Lonchura striata: one gene and its partners. The protein of the gene in region 3 interacts with the protein of the main gene of each other region in a biochemical or structural test. Links are inferred from orthologs where the notes say so. Each region holds a gene or a part of one and is shown on either strand. Other genes may lie near its edges. The genes, in order: RIOK1, COPRS and PRMT5.

Region 1 (9,640 bases), on a different chromosome or scaffold from region 3:
TTCTGTTGAATTAACTGTTGTTGAAAGATTAAAGCAGGCGTCCCTGCATGTGCTAACAAGCTAATGAAGAACATCCTACTATATATATGACTATCACTCATCTCTCCACCCAAATCATGCTGTACATAAAGAGGGAAAAGGACGATAAGACTGGGCTGTGTATAAGGAGGAGCTGTAAGGAGCTCCCTGTTCTGTGGGTGGAGAGAATCCCTTTAATGGGGTCGACTTTATCCCTTCATTTATCTCGCTGTTTTCATTCTTCCTTGGCATCAAGTAATGTCCCAAAATGCTGGAGCAAAGAGTCCTTACCAACTTTCAGCATTTCCTGGGGGGAGTGACACTTTGTATCACCAACTAATTAGAAGAAGGAGAGCCCACATGGGTTGACAGCATTCTATTCAGAGAAGGTGGAAAAGCAAATGAGGACAAATGTGAGTAAACTTCACCCATCCTGTTACTGCAGTAGTGGAGTTGTGTTATTCTGCTATTGCAAAAGAAGAGGTGACACCCTCTGTCCAGTTTCTGCAAACTATTTTTTCACCAGCTTCAGTGGAAATTTCCATCTGTGAAGATAAGTCAATGTGGGGAAAATTATAAAATTATGAAAATTAAGAAGTTCACCCTTATACAGTGTCTACAGTCCTTGCACTTATATCAAGTTCCAGTGGAGTGACCAGTCTAAAAGTGTATTTCAGATTTTGGCCTAACGTACAGTAATCCCTGATTTTAAAGTAAGAATTCTAAAAAAGGGAACAAAACTCACCAAGAAATCAAAATTCAGCCGTTAGCTAAACCCTTTGATTTTAGAAAATCAAGTAAATAAATGTTAACATTAAAAAAAAAAGAAATAAAAAAGTGTTCCATGCTCTATGAATTGGTCTCTTTACTGAATTTTGAGAAGACTGATTAAAGGGAGATTTTACTCACTGAAGACAAAGAAAGAAGGCAAAAAACATGTTTGAAATGCTACTGAGTTAGTCTGTCAAAAGAAGACTATACTTTTTTTTACTGAATTTCCTAGATATATAATAAATTTAGCAATGAACAGGAGCCAAGTTTGATGCACCACATTTAAATGATTTGGTTTACTTTTTTTTTTATTACACCACCTGTAACTGAAAAAAAAAAAAAGAAAACTATAAAAAAATAAAAAGCATTTTAGAGTGGTGGAAACCATCTGAGAGTACTTCCTCTTTTGTTGTAGTGCATTCCACTGCTCTTTATACCTATTTTCACTTCTCTGTTTGACTGTGTCAGGCCTGGTATGTGCACTATGTTCTCATGGAAAGAATAAGATTATATACTCATGTTATTCTCTCTCCAATTGTTTGGAGGCTATGTTTGTTGTCCAGTGGCTGCCTACCAAAAGCATGTAATTTGTAACTTCTTTAATTTTGAATTTTAATTTAATTTTAAATTAAATTTAGTTTTAAATTTATAATAACTGTAATTAAACATAATTTAAATATTAATTAAAATTTTAAATAATGTGTAATCAGAATAGGAACTGCAATGCAAATGCATTATTCCCTAAATTCATTACTTAGTTAATTCTAGGAACAACTCCAGCACCTGCATTTGGTATTCTTAGCACTTCTCTTTTATGTTATACATCTGTGAGGCCTGGCACTTACATATAAAATTTTGCAATATAAGTGCAAAAAAACTACTACTACTAATTTTATCAGAGAAGGGTATTTTCATCATTCAAGCCTCCATGGAATCTTACCATGGCTTCTTCTGGAAAGAAAGTATTGCTAGCTGAGTTCAAATTATCTTCCCCAGGAAGCTTTTTCTCAGTATCAAAACCTGAGAATGTCTTGAATAGAGAGACAGAGGGTTGAGGGAGAAAATGAGACATGTCTGTTATGGAGGCTACATTAATAATACAGTCCAGCACTGACTCCACATTTCTGCAAATGGCTCTTCATGAGGACCTACAACGGGCTTAATTGATAATTATTCTGGCAATGAAACATCTCCCAGGCTCCTGCATTCTCTTTTAGTATTGTTTTCTTTTTGCCAGCCCAACATTCTCCTTTGATGTGGTTGTTCTTCCTTGCCTAGGGGTTCCTTCTCTGGGAAAAAAATGTATCCACACCCAAAGACTGCTTCCAATCGACTATGCAGAAAGGTATGTTGGTTCTACAACAAGTGTTTCTATGACTTTGGAACTCTGTAGTTTTCTGAGAGGAATTAAGTTTTCCACAGTGTTTTCAGAGAATATTCATGGAGAAGATACAGCTGAGGAAAATAGGTATTTTGCTTGGAACTTAATGAATGCATCACTTGGCCTCCTCAGTGTGTATCCTTTTTCATCACGAGTCCTCTATTAAAAATATGATGGAACTACATTAATGTTCACAGCAGTATTCAAATATCATATTAGCTAATTTCTCTTTTATATATATGTGTGCCTATTCCATTTAAACCAATGTCTTGTATAAAGTGAAAATATATCCTAGAATATTGGAATATCAATCATACTGCATGAGACAGAGAAGATCCTGGTCACTTGTTGCGTTGCTGTAATAACTGCTCAGGACATAGCCATTTTCAGATAGGTTTTTGTATAAATCACCTAACAGTCCCTTGACCATGCTTTGTTCCCCCTTCTCTTGTTTCTCCATGCTCTGTACAGTCCATATTGTTCATGTGCTTCACTCATGCCATGGCAGTAAGAGCTGACCTCAAAATCTAACAAAGTCTGTTGATTTAAACAGGTTTTGCACCAGCTAAAGTTCTGTCAGACAGCACTGTGAACCACCAAGTACAGTGTGGCATACTTTGGCAGGGGAGGGGAGTGTGTTAGATAAATGTCACTAAAACTTGCTCATCCTAGCACATGGCACTTGAAATCCCTCTCGTTTAGCCTCACCAACAAGAACATACTGCTGTCAGATTTTCCAAGATGGGCTCAGAAGCACAGGTTGCTTCACAGAGCTGGCAAGCAGCATCTTTTCTTGCCACTGAGTTGTACATTTCATCCTGCAAATATGAAAAGGAAGCTCTTGATGCTCCTCTCAAGTCAGTCTTCTTCCAGGAAGGAGCAACACTGCAGTTCTCCCAGTGATTCTGAGTATGGTCTCAGCAGTTTCCCAGCTTCAGTGTGAACAGAATATATACCTGTCCTACATAATATGTTAAGTACAGAATTAGTGCATCTTTGAGTGTGAACAAACATTTTTTTACACTCAGTCTTCAGGAAATATAACAATGTAGCCACAAGAAGAGTAAGAGAGGTAGTATTTCTTTTGGAGTCTCATGTGACATGGAGCTACAGTGGTCCAAGGGAAATGCATGGTCTGATAGAGGTCTGTCCTCCCATGGATTAGGGGTGATAACTGGTAGATCTCTGACACTTTTATCATTCTCCTTCTGAAAGTATCACCATTGCTAGTGGACTGTTTCCCTTTACCCTGTTGAAGATGAATTGCTTGTAGAACAGTTTGTGCCTGCTTCCAAAGGAGCTCTTAAAACCTGGGACAAAAATTGTGTGCTGCACTCTAAGGCTGTCAAAAAAGCTTTGCAGAAGCCTGAAGGAATAAAAATGAGTGTGGAAATCCTCTGGCAGTATTATGTTTCCAACAGTCTCTTGTCATTACAATAAATGGACATATTTACTTAAGAGCACTGAATAATTTATTAGAGTGAAATAATCCTGTAGAACAGTATCTATGCACATGGATTAACCCACATGGATTAAGAGTCCTTCAACACCTGGTTCTAAAAGAAAGATCAGTAAACAGGTGATCTTAATCCAATTTCTGTTGTAGGTGGCTGTGCATTAGGGAAAATGAGCACAGAGACTCAAAGAACTGATTTTATGGTAGTGTTGCAGATGCAAATGACACCTATTGTATTAAATCTCTTTTAAAGGTGTCTCTACACAAGCATGCATGTTTTCTGCACAATCACAGTTTTTCCATAGCTTTTATACATACCACTTGGATAATGCAAAAACATCTACAAAAAAGAGACTGCATTTTAAAATGTAGTCATGTACCAGATAGCAAAAGCCCAGCACTCACTTTTATTTTCCTAATCCTACATTATGTCGGTATGTAAACAGAATATAATGTTATTCAATGCAAGGAGTGTTAGGAGCTAAGATGCTTCTAGCCAGGCCTGCAAATTTGGAATTCCTTTGGCTTCAATTAGAGCTTTATTTTAATAAAGATTGGAATTTAATATTTTAGAGTATACCAAATAAAACTTCTCAGTATCTACTGCATAGGACACAGATCATCACTTGTGTTTTAGGGAAAACAACCATGAATCTGTGGCAGGAATGGTCATTCCCAGTCAAGAATTGAGGGCTTGAAAACGCACTGTTTTTAAGGTTATATTATTGAATATTATAGAGATGTGCCACAGCTCATTGTTGACGTATCGGCAGCTGCCAGGGATTCAGAGAATCCCAGAATGGTTTGGGTCGGAAGGGACATTAAAGTTCATTTAGTTCCATCCCCCTGCCGTGGACAGGGACACCTCCACTAGCCCAGCTCGCTCCGAGCCCGGTCCGGCCTGGAACACTTCCAGGGATGGAGCATGCACAGATCCTCTGGGCACCTGTTCCAGAGCCGCACCACCCTCACATGGAAGAACTTTTTACCGCCATTTAATCTAACCCTACTCTCTTTCAGGGTGAAGCCATTCCCCACTGCAAGCCCTTGTAAAAGTCCCTCCGTGTGCCGGCTCCGGGCCCGCCCTGCGCAGGAGCCCGGCAAGCGGACGGGAATGAGAACGGGGTCGGGATCGGGAAAGGGAATGGGAAAGGGAACGGGAATGGGAACGGGAGCGGAAGCGGCGCTGGGGCGGGTCCGTGCCGGCCGCGCTCGCCCGCGCTGCTTTTGTCCCTCTGGCGGCGCCGTAGCGGCCGGGCCGGCGCCTGCGTCCCGCGGGCATCCCGGCTGCCGGATCCTCCCGGCTCCCGGCTCCCGGCTCCCGCCATGGATTACCGAGCGCTGGTGATGAGCCAGGTCGTGCCCGGGCAGTTCGACGATGCGGACTGCTCGGACAGGTGAGGGCGCGCCGAGGGGCCGGGGCTGCGGGCGCTGGGGCTGCGGGCCAGGCGAACGCGCGGAGCAGCCCCGGGATTTGCCCGGGATGTGACTTCGCCCTGGGCGGCGGGGAAGGGAGAGCGGGTGGTGCTGCCGCGTTACCGGAGGAGGTGAGAGGGAAGGCTGCGTGTGTCTCTCGGCTTCCCTTTTCCATTTCCCGTGCTGCTTTCGGACACTTGTCCTGGCAGAAAGCCGTGACACGTTATTGACGTTACAGAATCGCAGCATCAATTAGGTTGGAAAAGACCTCAGAGATCATCGAGGCCAAGCTGTGAGCCAGCACCACCGTGGCACTGAGTAACAAGTCCAGTCTTTCCTTAAACATCTGCAGGGACGGTGACTCCACCAGCTCCCTGGGCAATCCATTCCAATGTCTAACCACCCTTGCTGTGGAGAAATTCTTCCAAATTCTCCTGGTGCAACTTTGGGCCGTGTCCTCCTTTCCTGTCACTTGTTGCCTGGGAGAAGAGACCGACCGCACCTGGCCACAGCCTCCTTGCAGGCAGCTTTAGGGAGCGATCAGGTCCCCCCTGAGCCTCCTCTTCTCCAGGCTAAACACCCTCAGCTCCCTCAGTTGCTCCTCGTAGGACTTGTGCTCCAGAACCTTCACCAGCTTAATTTCCCTTTCCTAGACCTGATCCAGCACCTCAATATCCTTCCTGAATAGAAGGCCTCAGAACTGGACTCAGTGAATTAAGATCCAACTGAAAATTTAGTCATTTATGGGGATAAGTGTATTGAATTTTTGGTGACTGTAACAATAATTTTTAGTTATAGAGACATCTGTGTTTCTTTTAAGTGACTCTGTGGAAGACACAGAATCATGTAAAGAGGGTGAGGTCCCTGAGAGCTGCCAGTTATGCACGTGTGAAGAAGTTAATGCTGAAGAAGGAGATGGTGATGATAACAGTGATGCTGAAGAGGATGATGAAGACTGGGACTGGGATGATGAGGTGGGAAGACTCACAAAGCGCCACAATGCTGCTGGTGGATGCAATCCACAGGTATGCTGGAGGTCATTCTGTGGGCTTTGAGGGTGCCCAAGAGGTAATGGGGCCAGCCCGGAGGCTTTGTTTTTTGTTAGTGTTATGCTGAGTACAGATGCAAACAGCTCAGTGTTTTTTCAGAATTTTTTCCTTGAGAGAATCCCCTTCCTTTGCATCTGTTCCTCTGAGGTGCTGTATGTGTATGTACATTGTAGCCGGAGCTCAGTTTGATTTTCTTGTCTCAAACCCTGTTGCTGGATTCTCTGTGTCTGTCTCTACTGCAGTTTCCTTCTCTTCCCTACCTTCCTCAACTTCTCTTTCTTTGCTCACCCTGATCTCTACCAATGTTCCTAACTTTTTGGTATTTGTCCTCTGTGTTTCTGAGCATCTTCCTCAGCCTATTTATTTTTAGACTATCTGCTAATCACATGCAGGGTGAATCTAGTCCTATTTTTGACTTAATAGTGAAGAAGGCGAAGAAAACTACAAGCATGCGAAATGGAGCTGGGGGTGCTTGGAGTGAATTCATTTAGCATGTATGGTGTTGGCATAGAAACTCTGGCATGTTGCACTACAACACAAAATAACTTATACACAGTTCTAAGATCAAAAGAGTAAGAGGAAGTAAGTTTTATTTCTGACTTTGCAATATATAGAATTCCAAAAGTGACAGTGGATTGGAGGAAGAAATTGCCACCTCTCCAACCACACTAGTCAAACCAACAGTCTGTCAATTCTCTCTTCCCACAAAGAATGCAAAACAATCATTATTTACATGACAGTGCATGAGAAACTCCAGTAGAAATATGTAAACATCAGAAGGCATAGAAAACTTCTAAAAGAACTTTAAAATTTTTGAAAGAGCAGGGTGACACTGGCGTTGTGCAGAATAAAAAGCACTCATGAATGTAAAGAAGGATGCTAGTTCTCACATCAACTTGGACACTACAGGTTCAAAACCTCATTTTTCTTATTGCTACCAACTTAGTAGAACAGTAGAGATGAATCAGAGTGGTGCTGATCACAGCATAGCATGTCTGGCAGTGCTTGTCCTGGGTGGTATATTGCCTTTATTTAGAGGTTTATGCTGTTCAATGATGGTGAAATCATGTTCAGGTATTAGTTGTGTTTGGGGAGGACCACATGTAAGAAAAGACAAAATCATGGAAAGTTTTCTCAGTTCATTACCTCTGCATTTTTTCCTTACTTTATTTCTTTAGATTTTCTATTCTCTTCCTTTTACAGACAGAAAAAGTGCTCTGTGAGAGACTTGTAGCTTCCTAGACTAAAAGATTACTCTGGTGGAGGACTTTTAGAATTTTAACTGATGTGTAACTTGTATTTTCTTTTCTTGATTTAAATAAAATCTGGTGTTAATCCATATCTGTTTCCTTATATCTCATGTGCTTTTCATCTTACAGCTTTAGGCATAGGCATTTGAGATGACTTTTCCAATGAAATGGTTTGAATTAAAAAGGGCTGTGTACAGAACATGACTTATGTTAACAAATCCTTTATTTCAGGCAAATAGGCAGACACTTAATTGCTCTTCAGCAAAACTGTCAACCCCTGCAGGCAAGGTTTTAAGAAAATTTGAACACAAAATCAATTTAGGTGAGTATAATTGCACTATTGTCCATTATTTAAACAGTTGCCACTCTGTGGCATTCTCAGACTAATTTCACTCATGTTAAGCCAGAACTCACTGGAATGGGTGAGTTAGCCATTGCCGGAGAGATTAAAAATGGCTTTTGAGTACTTGAAGTTGCCTTTAGTCTCCAAGAACTGGGTGTCATACCCCCCCCCTCCACCTTCAGAACTACATGGCTGTTTTGTTGGGGCTTTTTCTTTCCCCTTAATTTCTCCAGGCAACATGAAGTCTTTCTTCCCTAGATTCTCTGTAGGAACAAGCTGTTTGGGTGGACGGAAGGTTTCAACTCTCTGTTGTGGCATTGGTGATTCCCACAGCTGCTACCACAGCTGCATTTTCTAGACAAATGCAGTCCCCTGTAGTATTGGGGGTGGGGGGTACATGATGCAGCAGTTCTCTCTCAGGGGCAGAGTTCCTGTGCTAAGTGAAGAGGCTGCTGTCCCAGCTGGTGTGGTTTGATTTTTGCCCTGAGATGGAGATGGCTGCTCAGTATAGCCTGTCAGGACTAGGGTAGGTGTGATTGGCACCTTCTGACAGGGTTGAGATCAGAGGTAGGGTTTTCCTTTATAAGAAAGTGGTGCTAGGGTGAAGGCTGCTGGTATTTGTAGCCCAGTACAGCAGCTTTTATACGTTTAGCATTTAATCAAACACCATTTAAATGCATTGTTGAAGAGAGTCTGAGAGGCTATTGCTTATTGTGTTAAGAAAAATAGTATTTAACTGTTATAAGAGAAGAACAGACAAATTTAATGGTTATCCAAAAGGCATTATTGGTATCACATTTCCAAGTCTCTGGAATTGTCTCACTCATCTGTGTTGTTACCTTATAGTCCTAACCTGAAATGTAAACAGAGTGAAGTTCTAGGTTAACCCTGGTGTGTAGGAAACTTCTTTGAGTTTTGGAATTCTGGTTTTTTATTCATCACTTATGTGTTTTTCAGATAAGCTAAATTTTGATGACTCTGTTATAAACAGAGTCACAGAAAAGTCTAGACAGAAGGAAGCAGACATGTGAGTATTACTTATGCTTCTATTTTCACTTAAATACTTTAAACTCAGAAGTATAGTGCGTATTTCCTTGTTTAAGGAAAGTTTGTTAAGAAAAATGAAGTTTAGAAGAAGTCTACATGCAGTTTGCCCTTTGGTCTTCCATTTTTTGGTTTCCAAATGGAATAATCCCAAAGCTGTTGGAATCGTCCCAAAGTTTTGATTCTTTTGTTGCTGGTAGCACATCTGATTATGTTGGTGTAGTATAGTAAGACAGAAGTGATGGGTGTCATTCACCTAGAAAAGACCCTTTGATACTCTTTTTTTCTAAACAGGAGTCCTTAAGCCGCTGAGATAAAAAGGTATTGGAGGCATTCAGAAAAAGCAGGAGGATAATCTATAATGAAGGGCTCTGATGTTAACAGTGGTGATTTGTTGATTTTTTTCCTTTCCATCCCTCTGTCTGCAGGAGAAACCTTTGATTTTGTATGAATGAAAGCCCTACTTCTTAAGGATGTCATCCTGTCTTTGACACAGAATGTCACAATTTGCCCTGTCAAAGTACCGAGCCCATATGTGGGATTGTAACATTTTATTTTCATTTCTGCTAGGTACCGAGTCAAAGACAAGTCAGACAGAGCAACAGTAGAACAGGTAAGTCCTTTGTTTATCAAAATTCCCTTTTGACCAGAGCAAGTAGTGTAGAATTTTTGAATCAATGAAGAAAACAGTTAAAGCAGGAACAGAGTTTTGGAATTCGTTTTCACTTGTTATTATGTTGAAGAGATCTCTTGTTTCTTTCTTTATTTCAAATTCGAAGGTTAGCTTTGGTTCCATAAACATTTAAGAGCTTATTTTTGTGTTTAACTTTGTGATTTGCTCATATGCATTAATTTCCAAAGAACAAGAAAAAATGTTGTTTGCCTTTTTTCTTTTTTTCTTCTGTAGCAAGA
Region 2 (10,353 bases), on a different chromosome or scaffold from region 3:
AGTGGACTTCTTGGAATACTGTCATCTGGTATATATAGGAATAATGCTTGGGTTTTTTTTATTCTTCTCTATTGGTTCTAGAGGCTGGAGAGGACACTGAGTGTGTTCAGCAAAGCCCATGAGTCCAATTTGCTGTCAGAAGCTCTCTACAAGCAGTGGGTAAGAACTGACAGAACAAATAGAAGCTGAGGTTTTCCTGCATTATTCGTGTGCCTGCCTTTGCCATTTTGAGTAGACACAAAGATGAATGATACTGGTTCAAAGCTCTGCTTTTTAACAAAGCTGTTTCTGCTGGGTTTTAGCTTCAGCTCTTACTGGACTCCAGCCTCTCTGAGAAGGCTGTGGAGGTGGCAGAAGCTGCAACCAGGCAATTCAGCCAGTCCGTGGAAACGTGGCAGATGAGGCTGCGCGTGCTGATCCAGCTGAAGAGTGATGATGTGACCCAGTGCTTTGAAGAAGCCATTAAACATGTGAAATCTAAGGTCTGTGCTGGTCTTGGGCCAGAAACCCCTGATGATTGGTTGTTTTGTGGGGTTTTTCTGCCTTTTTCTTCATTTTTTTCTTTGTTGTTGTTGTTTTGGCTTTTTTGTGTGGGTTTGTTTTTTTTGTTGTTGTTGATTTCTGTTTTTGTTTATTGTTGGTTTTGTTTTGTTTACAAGGCATTTTAAGTTCCTAACCATTTTTAAGGTCAGAAATAAGAACTTGGATGTTTCACATGCAAATTGTATTCCTGAGTATTAGGGAATTGTCAATTCACTTAAAATTCACATGTCTAAAGTCTGAATGCTTACAGTTGATATTTTGATCTCCTAGCAGTGAGCTGGTGTTTGTGTCTTAATGGAAAAATGTGTTTCCCTTTCTTCACTGTTGATACACCTGTGTGGTATTTCAAGCCTTGAATTAGTTGTGTACTCTCCTGCTCTGTTCCATTTTAAACACTGAACACAATGAGCGAGGAAATAAGAAGGTTTCTTCCCTTTTTTGTTCTTGGAAGTCACCTCTGTGTACTGCAGTGCTCAGAGGTGCAGAACTTGGTTCTTGTCCCTGGCAACACAGCTGTCCAGCTAAGGATGATTTATCCTGTAAGTGAGGAAGGAAATGAGAAGTGATTTCAGTGTGCAGTTCAAAGTTGTCTTTCCAAGAGCTGTGTCCAAAGGCTGTTTTTTATGGCAGGTAGTACAGAACCTGATGGCTGTGTTGCTGTCTGTTTCTGTAAGTCAGTCACTGTATTTCTGCTATGATTGTTTGCTGACCTTGTAGGGCACTTTGCCATTGTGGACCCTCTGGGTGGAGTGGAGTGAGAGCACAAACAGCAAGGAAGACACTGAAGCTCTCTACCAGGTACTTAGCTAATCGAAATCTACTTTTATGTCTTTGTCAATAACGTGAAACAATGTGTGTGGATGGAACATGCAACAAATGCTTTCTCCTGAAGTTTGTTCATGTGTGTATTGATGTCAAAGAATTTAAAGCAAAACTACGTGCATTAAAAAAACCAGTTGGTCATAGACTTACAGGCACAAGTGTCATTCCCATGTCCTAAGGAATATGGATGTTTGTAAGCACAGCCAATGATGGACTCCTACTTTGTGGTCTAGAATATTTGCTCTGTTTTCAGATACCTATCTGAGCACAGAAAAGAGAATTTTCCAGTTTTTGTGAAAACATCAGTCTTGTTACAGAAAAGTCAAGATCAGAATGAGGACTTTAATCTCTCTATGGATTTCGTCAGTAGTGTAGGACAAAACATTTTCTCTTTGCCTGGCTTATTGGGTTGTGTTTCTTCCTCCCAGTTGCCACATAAAACATGTACTTCAGGTGGAAGCTTGAATTCAGTTGTTTGTAGAGTACTGTGAAACCCTTTGCAATAAGGGGTTTAAGGAAATGTCAGTTCCAGCCATATAGAATACTGGAGGAGAAATGTGTTTTAGATTTAGGAGATCTCCTTTGTGTCAGATGCCTAACTAGGGAGAAGCACTAATTGAGCTATTTAATTGTAGGTTATGTGATAGGTTTACTTTTTGTTTATTTTGTTTTTTTTTTCCTTTTAAACTTGCAGAGATCCTTACGTGCCACAACACCTGCTGAATCTGTGACTATGAAAGAAAGGTACCTTGACTGGACTTACAGAAATAGTGGTTATAAGAAAGTTAAAAGACTCTTTACCAGGTAAAAAAAATACCTTCAAACCTGATTATTCTAGGGTATATGTTAGAAGTCCTTAAATCTAAAGTAACTTATTTTATTTCAGCCTGTGTGAAGATCGTCCATTTTCACTTGACTTCTTCAGGAAGATGATCCAAATAGAAAAGGAGCAAGTAAGTTCTTGACTATCCAATTAATGCTTTGTATTTGTAAAGTACAGTTCTAACCTGGGATTTAAATAGGAAGCAGAGTGGTGGTGTTAGTCTGTGATCAGTTCATGTTTGTCCTCTGCACTTGATTCACAGGATGTGATACAAACCCAAGTTCCATAGTAACTAATCTTCAGCAGTGTGTGCATGTAATTGCCATTACTCTCTTTCTTTGTCACAGTCGAATCATGCTGCAGATTCACTTCTGTACAAAATAAGTGGCCTTTTAATACCTTCCTTTTTTAGGAATCCTGCAGAATGCTTCATCTGAGAGAATATTATGAACGTGCCTTGAGGGAGTTTGGCTCAACAAATACTGGTGAGGGAGATTCTGGTTTTTATTATTTATTCATTCATTCACTGCTGCCTCTTTTATTCCCACCCATTTTAAAATGTACCTGTTTGTTCTGCTCTTGTGCTTGCTGTCATGCAGATTGGAGCTTATTTCTTCTGTGCCATTAAGAGTAGGACACTGCAGGGACCCTCTCCCCTGTCATCCCAGGATCACTGACACTGGGATGGCTTCAGCACAATTAGGAGCAAATCACATTCAGACACTGGCTGGCATAAGAGATGTGTATCATTTTAAATTTGGATTTATGAACAGTATGGAGCTATATATTTATAATCAAGATTTCTGCAGTATTAATTTGAAGAAGGTACGCAGCACAATTATTGTTGCATTATTTCTTCAGACATTACTGTTCCAGTTGGAATATAGAACCCAGGATTTTTGCTCCTCAAGGTGCCAGAGATTTTAGTCTTACAAAGTAAACTGTACTGCATTAATATTAGAGACACTTAGAAAAAGAGTTTCTAGTGAGTCTTGATATGCTTGTTAAGTAATATCTGGTCAAAATCTAAACAGAACTTTCATTTTCCTTTTAAAGACCTCTGGCTGGATTATATCAAGGAGGAGCTAAGTCATCCCCAAGGCAAACCAGAAAACTGTGGGAGCATTCACTGGCGAGCTATGAAGATGTTGCAGGGAGATCTGGTGGAAGATTTTGTTTCTAAATACACTTTATTACAAACTGGACATTTATGAAAAACTATACATAGTTATAACATGACTGCATTTTTTAACTTCTTTGTACAAAGGTAAATACGTTCCTGGACTTTATTAAAGTTTACCTTTACATTTTATGTGACAAAAAAGACTCATCTTCTCTGTTGCAGTAATTTCTTTCTAGTGTTGATTCTGCCAGGGGCAGGTTCAAGTGCACAGTCAGAGGAAGCAAACCCCTGAGGGTGTTTTCATCAAGACTTCTAAAGAGCAAACTTTTGATCCTGCTTAAACATTCAGATAGTTGTAGTGCATCAGTTTTTACACTTTGGAAAGCTAATATTACAGCACCCAAATGCAAAAAACCCAAACCAAACCCCATGGAAACTACACCTGTGGGTCATATTTTTATTGTAGGAAGCTGAATCATAAAAAGTGGAACACTTTTCATTAGGTAATCAGAAATCAGTAAAATTACAATGTTTATTGCTTCTTAGCGTAGAACTAATCTGTAATCCTCATGACAAAAAGAAACAGCCTCTGCAGCTCCCTTGCATTGGTGTTTGCATCTTGAGAGTGATGAAGGGTAGAGGGGAGCTGAGATCTGTTAGCCATGTCCTTGAGGTGAGAGGGGAAAGCTCTGATCTACACTTCCAATTTTCTGTCCACCATGCCTAAAAAACGTGTAATGTTTTTTAAAAGGGTGCTGTCCTTGGCTGTTTACAGAGCCACAAACCTGAGAAATCACCATAAATGATCAACTGAGAAATGTAGGGAAAGTACAAAAATATTAAACAAGTGTTCCTTTGTGCAATTTCCCAGTGACTGAAGGGTGACATAATTATAAGACAGGGAAATATTTATTGATTTTACACTCAAGTAGAAATTGCAGCTCCTCTCAAGCAATGAATCCCAGTAACTTAACTAGCTGGAAATAAAGTTTGGAGCAGCAGTTTGGTAAGATTCTTCTGTTACCAGATCTGAAGTACATTCTGCTTTTGTGTTTCCCACACTTTTAGCCAGGCCATCTCCTATATCCCTGCTAGTTCGCTTCCACCTCATTGTCTGACATTGAGATTTCCTTATTGAGAATCTCTTACACCCTCCCTGCCCCTTATGCTCTTACTCCCTCTCTGAACCACTTCTTGCTTCGTCAGTTGCTCAACTAAAAGTTTTTAAGTGCAAAGTCTGGAGTTTTAAAGTCCAACAAAGCTGGTAACTCCATCATTTCAGAAAGTGGGCCCTTTTCTGTCAGCTGTTCTGGTTCCTCACAGAACTTTGCCATTCTCCCCAGGGCAACATGCCCTGCAAGCACACGTGCTTGAAACCTGCCACAGCTGTCCAGCCAAGGTGCTTCCCGTCTCTTCGTGTTCTGAGCATGCTGCTACCACGAGGCCGGAAGGAAATTGTTATTTTTCGACAAGGGGGAAAGTCCGCCCAGCCATGAGAGACATCGATACTTTATTTACAACTTCACAAGTAAAAAAGTGCTTTCTCAGAGCTCTTACGCCTGTATTTGCCTCGGTTGGATGGCGGTGTTGGGCCATGGTTGCACTAGACGATCTCGGAGGACTTTCCGTCGGAATCGTGTCTGTGATTCCGAAGCTGGGCGCGGTGGGCTCCGCAGCCGGGGCGCTGCGGGCGGCGTTGCGGGCACCGAGGCCGGGCCGGGAGCGGCCGCGCCGTGCCTGCAGCCTCCGCCCGGTGCCGCAGCGATCCCGCCCGCCGGCGCTGCCGATGGAGCCCCGGGGCCGGGCCGCGGGCCCCGCTCCCAAGGTTCGGGGGTCCCGGGGAGAGCGAGGGGGCGGCGGGGCCGCCGTGAGGGCTCGTCCGGGGTCCGCGCCCTGCCCGCACCGCCTCCTTGTCGCGCTGGGAGTGAGGGCAGCTCGCTGTGCCCTTCCCGCACAGGCGCTGAGGGTCTCCTGCTCGCCACGCATCGCGTCCAGCCCCTCAGGGCTGTCGGAGGGTCCCGCAGGGCGGCTGGCTCAGTGTTGGCGCTTCCTCCACTCCTCGTGTGGCGATTACCCCTGTGCTGCCCGCGGTGCTGCCCTCCCGGAGGGGCACGGTGTGGGCCGGGGCTGTGCGTGAGGAGACGGGCTGTTCTGAGGGTGAGCGATGGCAGCAGCAGAATTAGCTGTAGCTCTGCAGGCTCACCTTCTGAAGTGAAAGCCAGTTTGTTGTTAAACCTGTGATTCATCAAGGGAACAAATGGAGACGCTCGGGAGCACACGGGGTAGCAGTTTGGTGAGCAATCAGAGCTGCTACTGCATTCTTTAAAAATGTCTCGTAGGTGATGGCTGCCGCCTCTGGGGCTGCAAACTCTGAGGGGGAACAGCTTCCTAATAAGACAGAAACCATGATCGGGAAGCCCAGAAAAGGTAGGACAAAACAAAGGAGGTCGTGAATATTGAAACTTGTGCACTACTTGAGAAATCTACCGAAAACCTTTTGGTGATTCTTGGGAAATGCTCTTTACTTACTGCACTAAATTATTTCCATGTAGCTATTTGGTACATGAGTAATTAATCAATATGACTTTTTTTTAAAAAAACAGAACTTTTTTTAAAATACCTACAGGTGAATGTGATGAAACAAGACTGTTGTGTCCTTTGCCCTAGTTTACAGAGTTATTTTCCAACAAGAGTCTGTGGAAAATCCTGATTTGTGCTGGTGTTGTGGTGCAAGGCTATGTCCACTCTTTCCAATCATCTGAAATGTGAAGCACCTCTGTAGTGATATTACATATCTGGGAAACTGCATGTATTACAATAAGAGTAGTAGTCACAAAGTGCATTTTTGTACCTCTCTGAACTCTTAATTGTTGTTTAATTTCTGAATGTATCTGTTGGTGCTTTCTACTGGTTTTAGAATGTTTTCTGCAGAATATTCCAAATGTTCCTGATGGCAAGTCTGAAGAAAGTGAATCTGCTTCTACCTCCCCCAATGAAGATGATGTCAGTGGCTCTACTAATGAGGGCTGGTACAATATATATGCTGACCTGGATGTGTGGGATAGTGAAGTTTCTAATGTGCCTGAGTCTTCAGGGCAGCAGGATGCATCTGAGCATGAGGTGGAGGACTGGGATAAAGAATTGGAGGAGTCTACATGTGGTCCTTACGGTGAGTACACGTTTACTTGTGCTTCATTTGAGTTTTGGATAGTTGGAGGCAGGTGCTTTGCAGGAGAATGTGTTTAAGTAACTCCAAGTTTTATTTTGGGAAGCAATTTCTCGTTATGTTGACCTCCTGGATGTGTAATGAACAATTTTGTTGTCAAATACAGGATTTAAAGGTGGTGTTGTGCATTTCACATGGAACTCTTGCTTGAGCAATTGAATTCCTAGGGAGTGGCATGGTAAGGAGGTGAATTCCATGCTTGTGCTGAGTTTTTCTGGTGAAGCAAGTTTTCAGTGGTGTATCTTTGTTATTTTGAAGCAGAAGAGAAAGGTACATGGCATGCAGGAACTAACTTTTTTGTGTAAAAGTTATTCAAGAAAATTCAAGATTGTTAATTATAATGTCTTTCTAGAGCATGGAGGTGTTTGGAACAGTGCTCAGTCTCTGAGTATGGCTTATGTTTACTGTAGTTTTTTTTTTTATTATTTTTTGGTGGTTTTTTTGGTTTGTTTGTTTGTTTGACTTTGGTTTTGTTGAAGCTTGATCCTCCTAAGTGGTTGTGCACATGACCAGTCCCATGGACAAAAGTGGCAACAAATAAGAGTGTCGCTCAAACATTTAGAGTTGAATTATTCCTCCAGTTTGTAACTTGTTTTTATGGTGACTCACATATGAAAAAGTCTCCATTGGCCAGGCTGGTTCTTAGCACAGAACGGGTGGGATGGGGTTTAGCCAGCAGTGGCTGATAACCTGCTGTGTCTTTCTTGATGCAGAATAGCACCATTTCCATTTTTTCTTCTCATTAATGTGTATCTTTTTGTAATTAAGATAATTTTCTTTGCTTAGGAAATATGTTCATTTTAATCTCATAATTAGAATAAACTTTTGTATTTTAATTCCATTTATTTCCATTTAAATTCCATCTATTTCCATTACCATTGTTTGGTAATGGAAGAAAGTGAGAAAGATTTTCATGCTTTCTGTGAAACCACTCTTGATTTTAAAATGGAAATATAGTATTGGTTTTGCACAGTGGGTAATTTGAGGAAAAGATTGTTCCCTTTTTGGAGGTTTTCCCTCTCTTCCATTCGGAGCTTTCATTTTAATCACTTATATGGTCAAATTTATGGAATGTTTTGAATTTTGTACTGGAACTGTTCCTCTTTTTCCCCCTTTATTTAACTTGCTCATCCCACCTGTAGCTCTTTAAATCCTCACAAACTAAGGCAGCTGTGTTTATTGGATTCGGGTCCTTCTGAAGGATACTAAATACGAGCGAGCATCTGAGTTGTTAACTGCTACAAATAGGAAAATGTACTTGGTTGGTCACTTCATGGCTTTTTAAGTGTCTTAAGCTCTTGCTGTGATGACTTGTTTGGCAGTGCTGCTGGAAGGCTGACATGTGGGATATTGTGTTGGGTCCTCCATGCTCTGGGCTTTTTCTTTGCTCAGTGTCTGCTGGCAAATCTTTATGCTTCTGTTAAAATACTTCGACCTATTTTTTGCTAGATTGGTTAAATACAGGCCCATTAGGCTTAATTCTAGCCTAGTGGAAATACTGTTCTAAGACAGCTTTTACAGGACCCCACCCTCCCATTCTGTCCAGCAACCCAGCTCTTAGAGGGTTTGGAGGACTCCTCATTGGGATGGTGTTATGAAAGCAGCAGGAAGGGGGAAGGCAAATAAAATTGATAGTTTCATGAGTCTTTTATTCCCAGGGAAGATGGGAAAAAATTGTATGTCTTGTAAGAGCTGGTGCCAGACATTCTAAGTCCCAGGAATATCAGTGAGCTTTCTGGAAAACTGTTTTGTGTGGCATGAACCTTCCTTAAAATGAAGACATTGCCAAAGTCAGTTTTCTGTTTGGCTTTTTTAAAGGTCTAATTCATAAGTGCTGTCAGATCAAATAAAAATAGTGAACTGGAAGATGCCATAGACCTCCATAATAACCTGCTACACTATTTCCACTACTTTCCTGAGTATCTCCCATGGTTTAAACCTTTTATTTTATCTTCTTTAGATGCTGACGATCTCTCCTGTGGAAGCTTTGAGGAAAATAATCTTTTCGGCTCATATGTATGGAAGGAGGATTGGTTTTACAACCCAGGCTGTCACCACGCACCGTGCTTTGTTTTTCCACCGCGAGTTAGAGCAGTTGAGAAGGGCCAGTTTGATGATGCTGATGAATGAGGCTGAGTCTGGTCAGAAATAAGTTTGGCTTCTGTGCTGGATTATGTTCTTCAGTGACTGAGCTGTGCCAAGTCCCTTGACTTTTTTGCAGAGTTTGGCTGAGGCCAGAAATGCAGCACTATCTCCAGAGTTTTGCTTAGGCTGTTTCTGAGCTGTTCATAAACTGCCCACCCTTGCTCTGGAGACAAGAATGCAGGTGCTGGGTGTAAGGAGTCAGTGCATTTCTGGAGGTTTTGTTTATATATGTAGATCTATGTTGCTAATTAATTGCTTGAGGAGAAGTATTTAATTTCTAAACTTCAGCTTGTTTGCCAGGCTTCTGTCAGTTTTGACATGCTGATCCCTGTGTTTTGTGCAACTTTTAGTTTTCTTTCCTTTTAATTTGATGCTGTCAGACTGGTTTAGATAGCTGTAAAAACTCTCCCTCCTTCAAGCTTATCTGTTGTATTTCCATATGGTTCTAAAGTCCATTTGTGATTCTTATACTGGTGTTTAACAAAATCGCCTGTGGCGAATACGGAACAAGTTGTTTTGTGTTTATGTATTTCATCAGAAAGGAATTACAAATACATGATACATGTTTTGCACATACATGTGCCGGTATATAGGGGGGCATACTCCATCCACTAGGAATGCTGGGTGCTTAAGGCTGCCTCCCAACAAAGATTTCTCCACATCAGATCTTCTTGTGTATGGGCACATTCCCCTAGAGTCCCACAGTTGTCTTTATTATATTCTCATGCAACATCAGATGTGCAATGACAAAGAAAATATCTCTGCCTATATATATATATATTTCAGTATATCAACTCAGTGTCCTGCAGACAGTAGTGAATTAAGCTTCCTGATGTTGTTCTGCTGTTTGTGTTGTGGCAAATGAGGAGATGCGACCACAAAATACCTCCACAGAGTCCCTAAGAAAATAGATGGAACTAGAGCCATATCCTTGTCACCTTTGCTCTGGAGTTAAAGGAAGTGTTCTCAAATGAAGTATATAAGTGGATTGAGTGGCTGGGCACCTGAGTAACAATAACTTTTGACATGCTCATGTTTCATTCAACACTTTTATCGCAAAAACATTTTCATGGCTGTGTGTTTAGACACTCACTGAACTGAAGCACTGTACAGTGTGAGTTTTTTTTTTGTTTGTTTTGTTTTTGTTGTTTCTTTGTTTTTTCTTTAAATCATCCAGTGTATGAGACCAATACAATTCATGCACTAGTTTAGGAGGAAGAAGTAAACAACACAGTGATATTTCCTTAATATCTTCCTAGAGAGTACAGGAGAACAAGAGCTTTTCTTTGGGTACCTTTCCATTCCTGGTTATGTTTTGGTACCTAGCAGTCAAAGCAGAGTGGAAGCATACTGTTGAGATTGCAAAAAAAGAGGGCCTGGTCTTTTATTCCCAAATGATGGAGTGATCTAGGGATTAATATTTCCATCAAAACTTCCTCAGTTATGCCAATAACTGTCTCATCATTTTAGGTGAAAAAAGTTTATTTGCAGTTATAAGTCCAGTATTCATAACGATAAATTGAGTGCAGATTACTGTTGAAGTAACTATACACCAGTAAATTGTAAAAATTCCTCTGAAAACTCCCTGGTTCTTTCGTGAGCCTGTTTATTCTGTGCAGGCCCGGCTGTGGATGACAAGCCCAAGGTTTCCCTGCAGAGGGCAGCAAAAAA
Region 3 (9,702 bases):
CGCTGCAGGCGGCGCTGGACGAGGGGCGGGGCCGCTTCCTGCTGGCCCGGGGCGGGGCCGTGCTGCTCAAGAGCAGGTAGGGACACGCCCCCCGCCCTCATTTGCATCTCATTAGCATGCGCGCGGCCGTGGGGCGGCCGGCCGAACACAGCCCGGTTCGGCCCGGTCCGGCCCAGTTCATCCCAGTTCATCCCAGTCCATCCCAGTTCATCCCAGTAACCCCAGATCCATTCCCAGTTCATCCCAGTTCATCCCAGTTCATCCCAGTAACCCCAGATCCATTCCCAGTTCATCCCAGTTCATCCCAGACCCATTCCCAGTTCATCCCAGTTCATCCCAGTAACCCCAAACCCATTCCCAGTTCATCCCAGTTCATCCCAGTTCATCCCAGTGACTCCAGACCCCGTTCCCAGTTCATCCCAGTTCATCCCAGTTCATCCCAGTGACCCCAACTCCATTCCCAGTTCATCCCAGTAACCCCACAGCCCAGTCCCAGTTCATCCCAGTTCATCCCAGTTCATCCCAGTGACTCCAGATCCATTCCCAGTCCATCCCAGTCCCTCCCAGTCCATCCCAGTCCATCCCAGTAACCCCAGATCCATTCCCAGTTCATGCCAGTGACTCGAAACCCATTCCCAGTTCATCCCAGTAACCCCAGAGCCCATTCCCACTTCATCCCAGTCCATCCCAGTAACCCCAAACCCATTCCCAGTCCATCCCAGTCCCTCCCAGTCCATCCCAGTCCATCCCAGTAACCCCAGACCCCGTTCCCAGTCCATCCCAGTCCATCCCAGTCCATCCCAGTAACCCCAGACCTCATTCCCAGTTCATCCCAGTTCATCCCACTCCATCCCAGTGACCCCAAATCCATTCCCAGTTCATCCCAGTGACCCCAAATCCCCTCCCAGTTCATCCCAGTCCATCCCAGTTCATCCCAGTTCATCCCAGTTCATCCCAGTTCATCCCAGTAACCCCAGATCCATTCCCAGTTCATCCCAGTAACCCCAGACCCATTCCCAGTTCATCCCAGTGACTCCAAACCCATTCCCAGTTCATCCCAGTGACCCCAAATCCCCTCCCAGTCCATCCCAGTTCATCCCAGTTTGTCCCAGTCCCTCCCAGTAACCCCAAATCCCCTCCCAGTTCATCCCAGTTCATCCCAGTTCATCCCAGTCCATCCCAGTAACCCCAGACCTCATTCCTAGTCCATCCCAGTTCATCCCAGTTTGTCCCAGTCCATCCCAGTAACTCCAAATCCCCTCCCAGTCTGTCCCAGTAACCCCAGACCCATTCCCAGTTCATCCCAGTAACCCCAAACCCATTCCCAGTCCATCCCAGTCCCTCCCAGTCCATCCCAGTCCATCCCAGTAACCCCAGACCTCGTTCCCAGTTCCTCCCAGTTCATCCCAGTCCATCCCAGTGACTCCAAACCCATTCCCAGTTCATCCCAGTGACCCCAAATCGCCTCCCAGTTCATCCCAGTCCATCCCAGTAACCCTAAATCCCCTCCCAGTTCATCCCAGTCCATCCCAGTAACCCCAAACCTGTTCCCAGTTCATCCCAGTTCATCCCAGTGACCCCAAATCCATTCCCAGTTCATCCCAGTGACCCCAAATCCCCTCCCAGTTCATCCCAGTTCGTCCCAGTCCATCCCAGTAACCCCAAATCCCCCCCAGCCCCACCCCCTCATTACTCTCATGAATATTCATCAGGCTGGAGGAGCTGCAAATCCTATTGGACACTTACCCTGCCCCCACCATCGAGGCCCACCGGCGAATCAGGTACGAGACCACGCCCCCTCATTAGCATAATGCGAGCTCCACCCACATTGCCACGGCCACGCCCCTAATTAGCATAGCAATGTCATTGGCTCATTGCCATAGCCACACCCCCTCATTAGCATAATGTAGGCACCACCCTCTATACTGTAGCCATGCCTCCTCATTTGCATAAAACACTGCCCCTCATTAGCATAACCCTCTCATTAGTACCACCCTCATTAGCATACTCGTTGCCATTAGCATAACAATTACAATGACCACACCCACTAATTAGCATATCGAAGTCACCACACCTCATTAGCATAAAACAGCCGAATCCCTGCGCTTCATTACCGCAATGGTGCCTCATTAGCATAATTCTGCCACCATTATGACAGCACCTCATTAGCATAACCCCGCCCTCATCACCATTACAGTATCTCATTAGCATACCTCATTGACTCATTATCATGACACCACCTCGTTAGCATAAACACACCCACATTTCCATAGCCCTAAACCTCATTACCATAATTTCATCCTCATTACCATAACCCCTCCCTCATTACATACCTACACCAAATTAGCATAACCTCACTCATTACCATAATTTCATCCTCATTACCATAACCCCTCCCTCATTACATACCTACACCAAATTAGCATAACCTCACTCATTACCCTAATTCCATCCTCATTACCATAACCTCCTTATTACATGCCTACACCAAATTAACATAACTTCACTGCTCATTAACATAAACCAAGCCTCATTACATACCCACACCAAATTACCATAAGGTCACTTCTCATTACCATAATTCTACTCTCATTACCATAACCCTGCCCTCATTACATCCCCACAACAAATCACCGTCACCACCCACCTCATTAGCATAACCCCACCTCATTAGCATAACCCCGCCCCATTATATCCCCACATCAAATCCCTTCTCACCCCCACCACATTACCATAATCCCGCCCTCATTACCATATCCCCTCCCCTCATTAGCATAACCCAACCTCATTACCATAACCCCTCCCTCATTACATCCCCACACCAAGCCCCCATCACCCCCGCCCCTCATTACCATATCCCCTCCCCTCATTACCATATCCCCACCCCTCATTACCATAACCCCTCCCTCATTACACCCCCACACCAAATCACCATCACCACCCACCTCATTAGCATAACCCCACCTCATTAGCATAACCCCGCCCCATTATATCCCCACATCAAATCCCTTCTCACCCCCACCACATTACCATAATCCCGCCCTCATTAGCATAACCCCACCTCATTACCATAACCCCTCCCATTACACCCCCACACCAACCACCATCCCCGCCCCTCATTACCATATCCCCCCCCTCATTAGCATAACCCCACCCTCATTAGCATAACCCCTCCCATTACATCCCCACTCCAAATCACCATCACCACCCACCTCATCACCATATCCCCGCCCCTCATTAGCATAACCCCGCCCCTTTTCCCCGGCAGGGCGGGGCTGTCGGAGGCGCGCGGCGCCGCGCAGGCCGAGGCGGCCATCTTGGGGGCGGAGCTTGGGGCGCTGCGGGCGCTGGGCCCGGGGTTCCGGGCGCTGGCGCTGGAGCTGGGCCGGATCCGGCGGCACTCGGAGCAGAGGGGCTGGGCCCTGCGCCAGCTCCGCCCCCCCGTGACGTCACCGCCGGCTCATTAGCATGCCGCCGGACACGCCCACCCGCCGCCCTGCCTGCCGTGTGTGGGCGGGGCGGGGATGATTGACAGCTGGGGAAAGGGGATGATTGACAGCTGGGGGTGGGGAAGGGGATGATTGACAGCTGGGACAGGGGATGATTGACAGGTGGGGTGGGGGATGATTGACAGCTGGGGAAAGGGGATGATTGACAGCTGGGGTGGGGATGATTGACAGCTGGGGTGGGGATGATTGACAGCTGGGGAAAGGGGATGATTGACAGCTGGGGAAAGGGGATGATTGACAGCTGGGGAAAGGGGATGATTGACAGCTGGGGAAAGGGATGATTGACAGCTGGGGGTGGGGAAGGGGATGATTGACAGCTGGGGAAAGGGATGATTGACAGCTGGGGTGGGGGATGATTGACAGCTGGGGAAAGAGGATGATTGACAGCTGGGGAAAGGGGATGATTGACAGCTGGGGAAAGGGGATGATTGACAGCTGAGGTGGGGGATGATTGACAGCTGGGGTGGGGGATGATTGACAGCTGGGGAAGGGGATGATTGACAGCTGGGACAGGGGATGATTGACAGGTGGGGTGGGGATGATTGACAGCTGGGGAAAGGGATGATTGACAGCTGGGGAAAGCGGATGATTGACAGCTGGGGCAAGGGATGATTGACAGGTGGGGCGGGGGGATGATTGACAGGTGGGGCAAGGGATGATTGACAGCTGGGGAAGGGGATGATTGACAGGTGGGGCAAGGGATGATTGACAGCTGGGGAAGGGGATGATTGACAGGTGGGGCAAGGGATGATTGACAGCTGGGTTGGGGCAGAGGATGATTGACAGCTGGGGGCGGGGCTTGGCACTGAGGGCGGGAAATGGTGGGAAAAATCCAATGGGAATTTCAATAAATGTCCCAAAAAATCTCAATTTCTGACCAAAATCTGCGGGAATTTAAATAAATCTCAAAAAAATACCGAGTTCTGACCAAAATCTGTGGGAATTTAAAAAAATCTCAAAAAAATACCGAGTTCTGACCAAAATCTGTGGGAATTTTTATAAATGTCCCCAAAAAAAATCCCAAATTCTGCCCAAAATCTGCAGGAATTCAATAAATGTCCTGAAAAATCCTAAAAAATCCCAAATTCTGACCAAATCTGTGGGAATTTCAATAAATCTCCGAAGAAATGCAAAATTCTCCAGAAAATCCACAGGAATTTCGATAAATGTCCCAAAAATCCCAAATTCTCCCCAAAATCTGACAGGAAATTCATAGAACTCCCAAAAAATCCCGAATTCTGACCAAATCTGTCGGGAATTTCAAAAAATCTCCAAAAAATACTGAATTCTGAGCAAAATCTGCGGGAATTTAAATAAATGTCCCAAAAAATTCCTAAAAATTCCGAATTCTGACCAAAATCCCCCTGGAATTGAACAGAATTCCCAAACAATCCCAAATTCTCCCCAAAATCTGACCGGAATGTCAAGAAATCTCCCAAAAAATCCCAAATTATGCCCAAAATCAGTAAATCTCCCAAAAAATTCTAAAAAATCTTAAATTCTGCCCAAAAATCTGCTGGGAATTTTGATAAATTCCCAAAACATTCCAAATTCTAACCTAAATCTGCGGGAATTTCAATAAATGTCCCCAAAAAATGCTGAATTCTGACCAAAATGCGCCTGGAATTGAACGGAATTCCCAAAAAAATCCCAGATTCTGCTCAAAATCTGACAGGAATTTCACAGAATTCCCAAAAAAATCCCCAAAAATCCCAAAATCCTCCTGGGAAATGATTGCCAGCGGGGCGGGGCGGGGCCCAGAGGATGATTGACAGCTCTTTCCGCTCGCCGATTGGCTGGCGGGCTGTGATTGGCAGACAGGCCACGCCCATCACCCACAACTCTGATTGACAACTCGCAGAGCGCTCTGATTGGTCAGTGCCTCTTGTGGGCGTCCCCCTCTGTGTCCGCGTTGATTGACAACCGAGCCCGCGTTCCTATTGGCTGACAGCCCCCCATGGGCGGGGTAACCCGCCACTCCCTTGACTGACAGCCGCCTCCGCGCTCTCATTGGCTGCGTTTTTCCCGCCTCCGCTGTGATTGACCGCTCTCCGCGCTCTCCCATTGGCTCCCGGCGATTTTTGTGGGCGGGCACAACGCTGCGCTGTGATTGACAACTGCTCCTCGTGTTCCTATTGGCTGCGCGGGAGGCGGGCTCGACGCTGATTGGCCGCCGCCTGAGGGGACGGGGGGTGAGCGGGAGCAGCGGCGCAGCCATGGCGGCGGGGCCGGGCGCGGCGGGCGCCGCTCGCGTCTCCTCAGGCCGGGACCTGAGCTGCGTGCCGGAGGTGGCGGGAGCGCTGGGGGCCGTGGCCAGGCAGGGGTGAGAGCGGAACCCCAAATCCCAAAAAAAACCCCCAAAAATTCCAACGCGGGACCCCAAAAACCGAACCCCGAGCGCGCCTCGTGTTCCCAAAGGGGCCGGAGGGCGCGGGAGGTGCCCGGGTCCCCTCAGGGAACCCCAAAATACCCCAAAATTCCCTCAGGGAGCCCCGAAATTCCCTCAGGGAGCCCCAAAATACCCAAAAATTCCCTCAGGGAGCCCCGAAATCTCCAAAAATTCCCTCAGGGAACCCCAAAATTCCCTCAGGGAGCCCGAAATCCCCAAAAATTCCCTCAGGGAGCCCCAAAATCCCCAAAAATTCCCCCTAGGAGCCCCAAAATCCCCAAAAATTCCCTCAGGGAACCCCAAAATACTCCAAAATTCCCTCAGGGAGCCCCAAAATCCCCAAAAATTCCCCCTAGGAGCCCCAAAATCCCCAAAAATTCCCTCAGGGAACCCCAAAATACTCCAAAATTCCCTCAGGGAGCCCCAAAATCCCCAAAAATTCCCTCAGGGAACCCCAAAATACTCCAAAATTCCCTCAGGGAACCCCAAAATACCCAAAAATTTCCTCAGGGAGCCCGAAATCCCCAAAAATTCCCTCTAGGAGCCCCAAAATCCCCAAAAATTCCCTCAGGGAACCCTGAAATCCCCAAAAATTCCCTCTAGGAACCCCAAAATCCCCAAAATTCCCTCAGGGAACCCCGAAATCCCCAAAAATTCCCTCAGGGAGCCCCAAAATCCCCAAAAATTCCCCCTAGGAGCCCCAAAATCCCCAAAAATTCCCTCAGGGAACCCCAAAATCCCCAAAAATTCCCTCAGGGAGCCCCAAAATCCCCAAAAATTCCCTCAGGGAACCCCAAAATCCCCAAAAATTCCCTCAGGGAACCCCAAAATCCCCAAAAATTCCCTCAGGGATCCCCAAAATCCCCAAAAATTCCCTCAGGGAACCCCAAAATCCCCAAAAATTCCCTCAGGGAGCCCCAAAATCCCCAAAAATTCCCTCAGGGAACCCCAAAATACTCCGAAATTCCCTCAGGGAACCCCGAAATCCCCAAAAATTCCCTCTAGGAGCCCCGAAATCCCCAAAAATTCCCTCAGGGAACCCCAAAATCCCCAAAAATTCCCTCAGGGAGCTCCAAAATCCCCAAAAATTCCCTCAGGGAGCCCCAAAATTCCCTCAGGGAACCCCAAAATCCCCAAAAATTCCCTCAGGGAGCCCCAAAATCCCCAAAAATTCCGTCAGGGAGCCCCGAAATCCCCAAAAATTCCCTCAGGGAGCCCCAAAATCCCCAAAATTCCCTCAGGGAACCCCAAAATACCCAAAAATTCCCTCTAGGAGCCCCAAAATACCCCTAAATTCCCTCAGGGAACCCCAAAATCCCCAAAAATTCCCTCAGGGAACCCTGAAATCCCCAAAAATTCCCTCAGGAATCCCCAAAATTCTCCAAATTTGCCCCAAATTCCCCTCAGAAATTCCCAAAGTTCTCCAAATTTGCCCCAAATTCCCTCAGGGATCCCCGAAATTCCCCAAATTTGCCCCAAATTCTCCTCAGAGACCCCAAATTTCTATCAAGGATCCCCAAATTCCCTCAGGGATCCCCCAAATTTGCCCCAGATTCCCCAAAATCGCCCAAATTTACCCAAAAATCCCCTCAGGAATCTTAAAATCCCATCAGGAATCCCCAAAATTCCCCAAATTTGCCCCAGATTCCCTCAAGAATCCCCAAATTTGCTCCAAATTCCCTCAGAAATCCCCAAAATTCCCTGAGATCCCTCAGGGATCCCCAAATCTCCTCAGGGATCCCCAAAATTTCCCAAATTTGCCCCAAAATCCTTTCAGGGATCCTGAAATCCCCAAAAATTCCCTCAGGGAGCCCCAAAATCCCCAAAAATTCCCTCAGGGAGCCCCAAAATACCCAAAAATCCCCTCAAGAAACCCCAAAATACCCCAAAATTCCCTCAGGGAGCCCCAAAATCCCCCAAAATTCCCTCTAGGAGCCCCGAAATTCCCAAAAATTCCCTCAGGGAACCCTGAAATCCCCAAAAATTCCCTCAGGGAGCCCCAAAATCCCCAAAAATTCCCTCAGGGAACCCCAAAATCCCCAAAAATTCCCTCAGGGAGCCCCAAAATCCCCAAAAATTCCCTCAGGAATCCCCAAAATTCTCCAAATTTGCCCCAAATTCCCCTCAGAAATTCCCAAAGTTCTCCAAATTTGCCCCAAATTCCATCAGGAACCCCCAAATTCCCTCAGGGACCCCCAAAATTCCCCAAATTTGCCCCAAATTCCCCAAAATTCCCCAAATTTGCCCCAAATTCCCTCAGGGATCCCCAAAATTCCCCAAGTTTGCCCCAAATTGCCCAAAATTGCTCAAATTTGCCCCAAAATCCTCCTCACGGACCCCCAAAATCCCCCAAATTTGCCCCAAATTCCCCAAAATTCCCCAAATTTGCCCCAAATTCCCCAAAATTCCCCAAATTTGCCCCAAATTCCCCAAAATTCCCCAAATTTGCCCCAAATTCCCCAAAATTCCCCAAATTTGCCCCAAATTCCCCCAAAATCTCCGGGATCCCCAAATCCCCTCAGGGATCCCCAAAGCAAAAAACAAATGTGCCCAGTTCAAACCAGTTCAAACCAGTAACTCCCAGTTCAAACCAGTAACTCCCAGTTCAAACCAGTAACTCCCAGTCCATCCCAGTCCATCCCACTTTGATCCCAGTCCCTCCCAGTTTGATCCCAGTCCCTCCCAGTTTGCCCAGTTTGGATTCCCAGTCCGTCCCAGTTTGCCCAGTTGGGCTCCCAGTTCATCCCAGTCCCTCCCAGTTTGCCCAGTCCATCCCAGTTTGATCTCAATCCCTCCCAGTTTGCCCAGTTCGGGTTCCCAGTCCCTCCCAGTCCCTCCCAGTCTCTCCCAGTCCCTCCCAGTCCCTCCCAGTCCCTCCCAGTCCCTCCCAATTCCCTCCCAGTTCCCTCCCAGTCCCTCCCAGTATAAACCAGTTCCCTCCCAGTTCCCTCCCAGTCTCTCCCAGTTCCCTCCCAGTTCCCTCCCAGTTCCCTCCCAGTCTCTCCCAGTTCCCTCCCAGTTCCCTCCCAGTTCCCTCCCAGTCTCTCCCAGTCCCTCCCAGTCCCTCCCAGTCTCTCCCAGTCCCTCCCAATTCCCTCCCAGTTCCCTCCCAGTCCCTCCCAGTCTCTCCCAGTCCCTCCCAGTTCCCTCCCAGTTCCCTCCCAGTCCCTCCCAGTCCCTCCCAGTTCCCTCCCAGTTCCCTCCCAGTTTGATCCCAGTCCATCCCAGTTCCCTCCCAGTCCCTCCCAGTTTGATCCCAGTCCATCCCAGTCACCCCAAACCCCAAACCAGTTCCCTCCCAGTTCCCTCCCAGTCTCTCCCAGTCCCTCCCAGTCCCTCCCAGTCCCTCCCAGTCCCTCCCAATTCCCTCCCAGTTCCCTCCCAGTTCCCTCCCAGTCTCTCCCAGTCCCTCCCAGTCCCCTCCCAGTCCCTCCCAGTCCCTCCCAGTTCCCTCCCAGTTCCCTCCCAGTCCCTCCCAGTCTCTCCCAGTCCCTCCCAGTCTCTCCCAGTCCCTCCCAGTTCCCTCCCAGTTCCCTCCCAGTCTCTCCCAGTCCCTCCCAGTTCCCTCCCAGTTCCCTCCCAGTCTCTCCCAGTCCCTCCCAGTTCCCTCCCAGTCTCTCCCAGTCCCTCCCAGTTCCCTCCCAGTCCCTCCCAATTCCTCCCAGTTTGTCCCAGTTCCCTCCCAGTCCCTCCCAGTCCATCCCAGTTTGATCCCAGTCCCTCCCAGTCCCTCCCAGTCCCTCCCAGTCCCTCCCAGTTTGGCTTCCCAGTAATCCCAGTTTGCCCAGTTTCGATTTCCTGTGC

The links.
Region 1: the proteins of PRMT5 (region 3) and RIOK1 are reported together in a solved structure, tested with the Homo sapiens proteins (2 studies listed by BioGRID, with this or other methods). The link is inferred for Lonchura striata from reciprocal best matches to the Homo sapiens genes PRMT5 and RIOK1.
Region 2: the proteins of PRMT5 (region 3) and COPRS form a complex in vitro, tested with the Homo sapiens proteins (3 studies listed by BioGRID, with this or other methods). The link is inferred for Lonchura striata from reciprocal best matches to the Homo sapiens genes PRMT5 and COPRS.

Annotation. Positions count from the first base shown.
Region 1 is NC_134603.1:93,194,425-93,204,064, reverse strand, and holds the start of RIOK1 (serine/threonine-protein kinase RIO1), read left to right. Parts: upstream 1-4,864; 5' UTR 4,865-4,952; coding exon 4,953-5,023; intron 5,024-5,862; coding exon 5,863-6,067; intron 6,068-7,572; coding exon 7,573-7,663; intron 7,664-8,641; coding exon 8,642-8,711; intron 8,712-9,298; coding exon 9,299-9,341; intron 9,342-9,640. UniProt on the Homo sapiens protein: Involved in the final steps of cytoplasmic maturation of the 40S ribosomal subunit. Involved in processing of 18S-E pre-rRNA to the mature 18S rRNA. Required for the recycling of NOB1 and PNO1 from the late 40S precursor.
Region 2 is NC_134621.1:8,028,796-8,039,148, reverse strand, and holds COPRS (coordinator of PRMT5 and differentiation stimulator), read left to right. Parts: upstream 1-5,653; coding exon 5,654-5,738; intron 5,739-6,228; coding exon 6,229-6,480; intron 6,481-8,497; coding exon 8,498-8,667; downstream 8,668-10,353. Other genes in the region: UTP6 (U3 small nucleolar RNA-associated protein 6 homolog), read left to right, coding at 82-159, 303-482, 1,261-1,341, 2,060-2,169, 2,252-2,318, 2,601-2,673, 3,245-3,402. UniProt on the Homo sapiens protein: Histone-binding protein required for histone H4 methyltransferase activity of PRMT5.
Region 3 is NC_134641.1:823,473-833,174, forward strand, and holds the start of PRMT5 (protein arginine N-methyltransferase 5), read left to right. Parts: upstream 1-5,720; 5' UTR 5,721-5,725; coding exon 5,726-5,832; intron 5,833-9,686; coding exon 9,687-9,702. UniProt on the Homo sapiens protein: Arginine methyltransferase that can both catalyze the formation of omega-N monomethylarginine (MMA) and symmetrical dimethylarginine (sDMA), with a preference for the formation of MMA.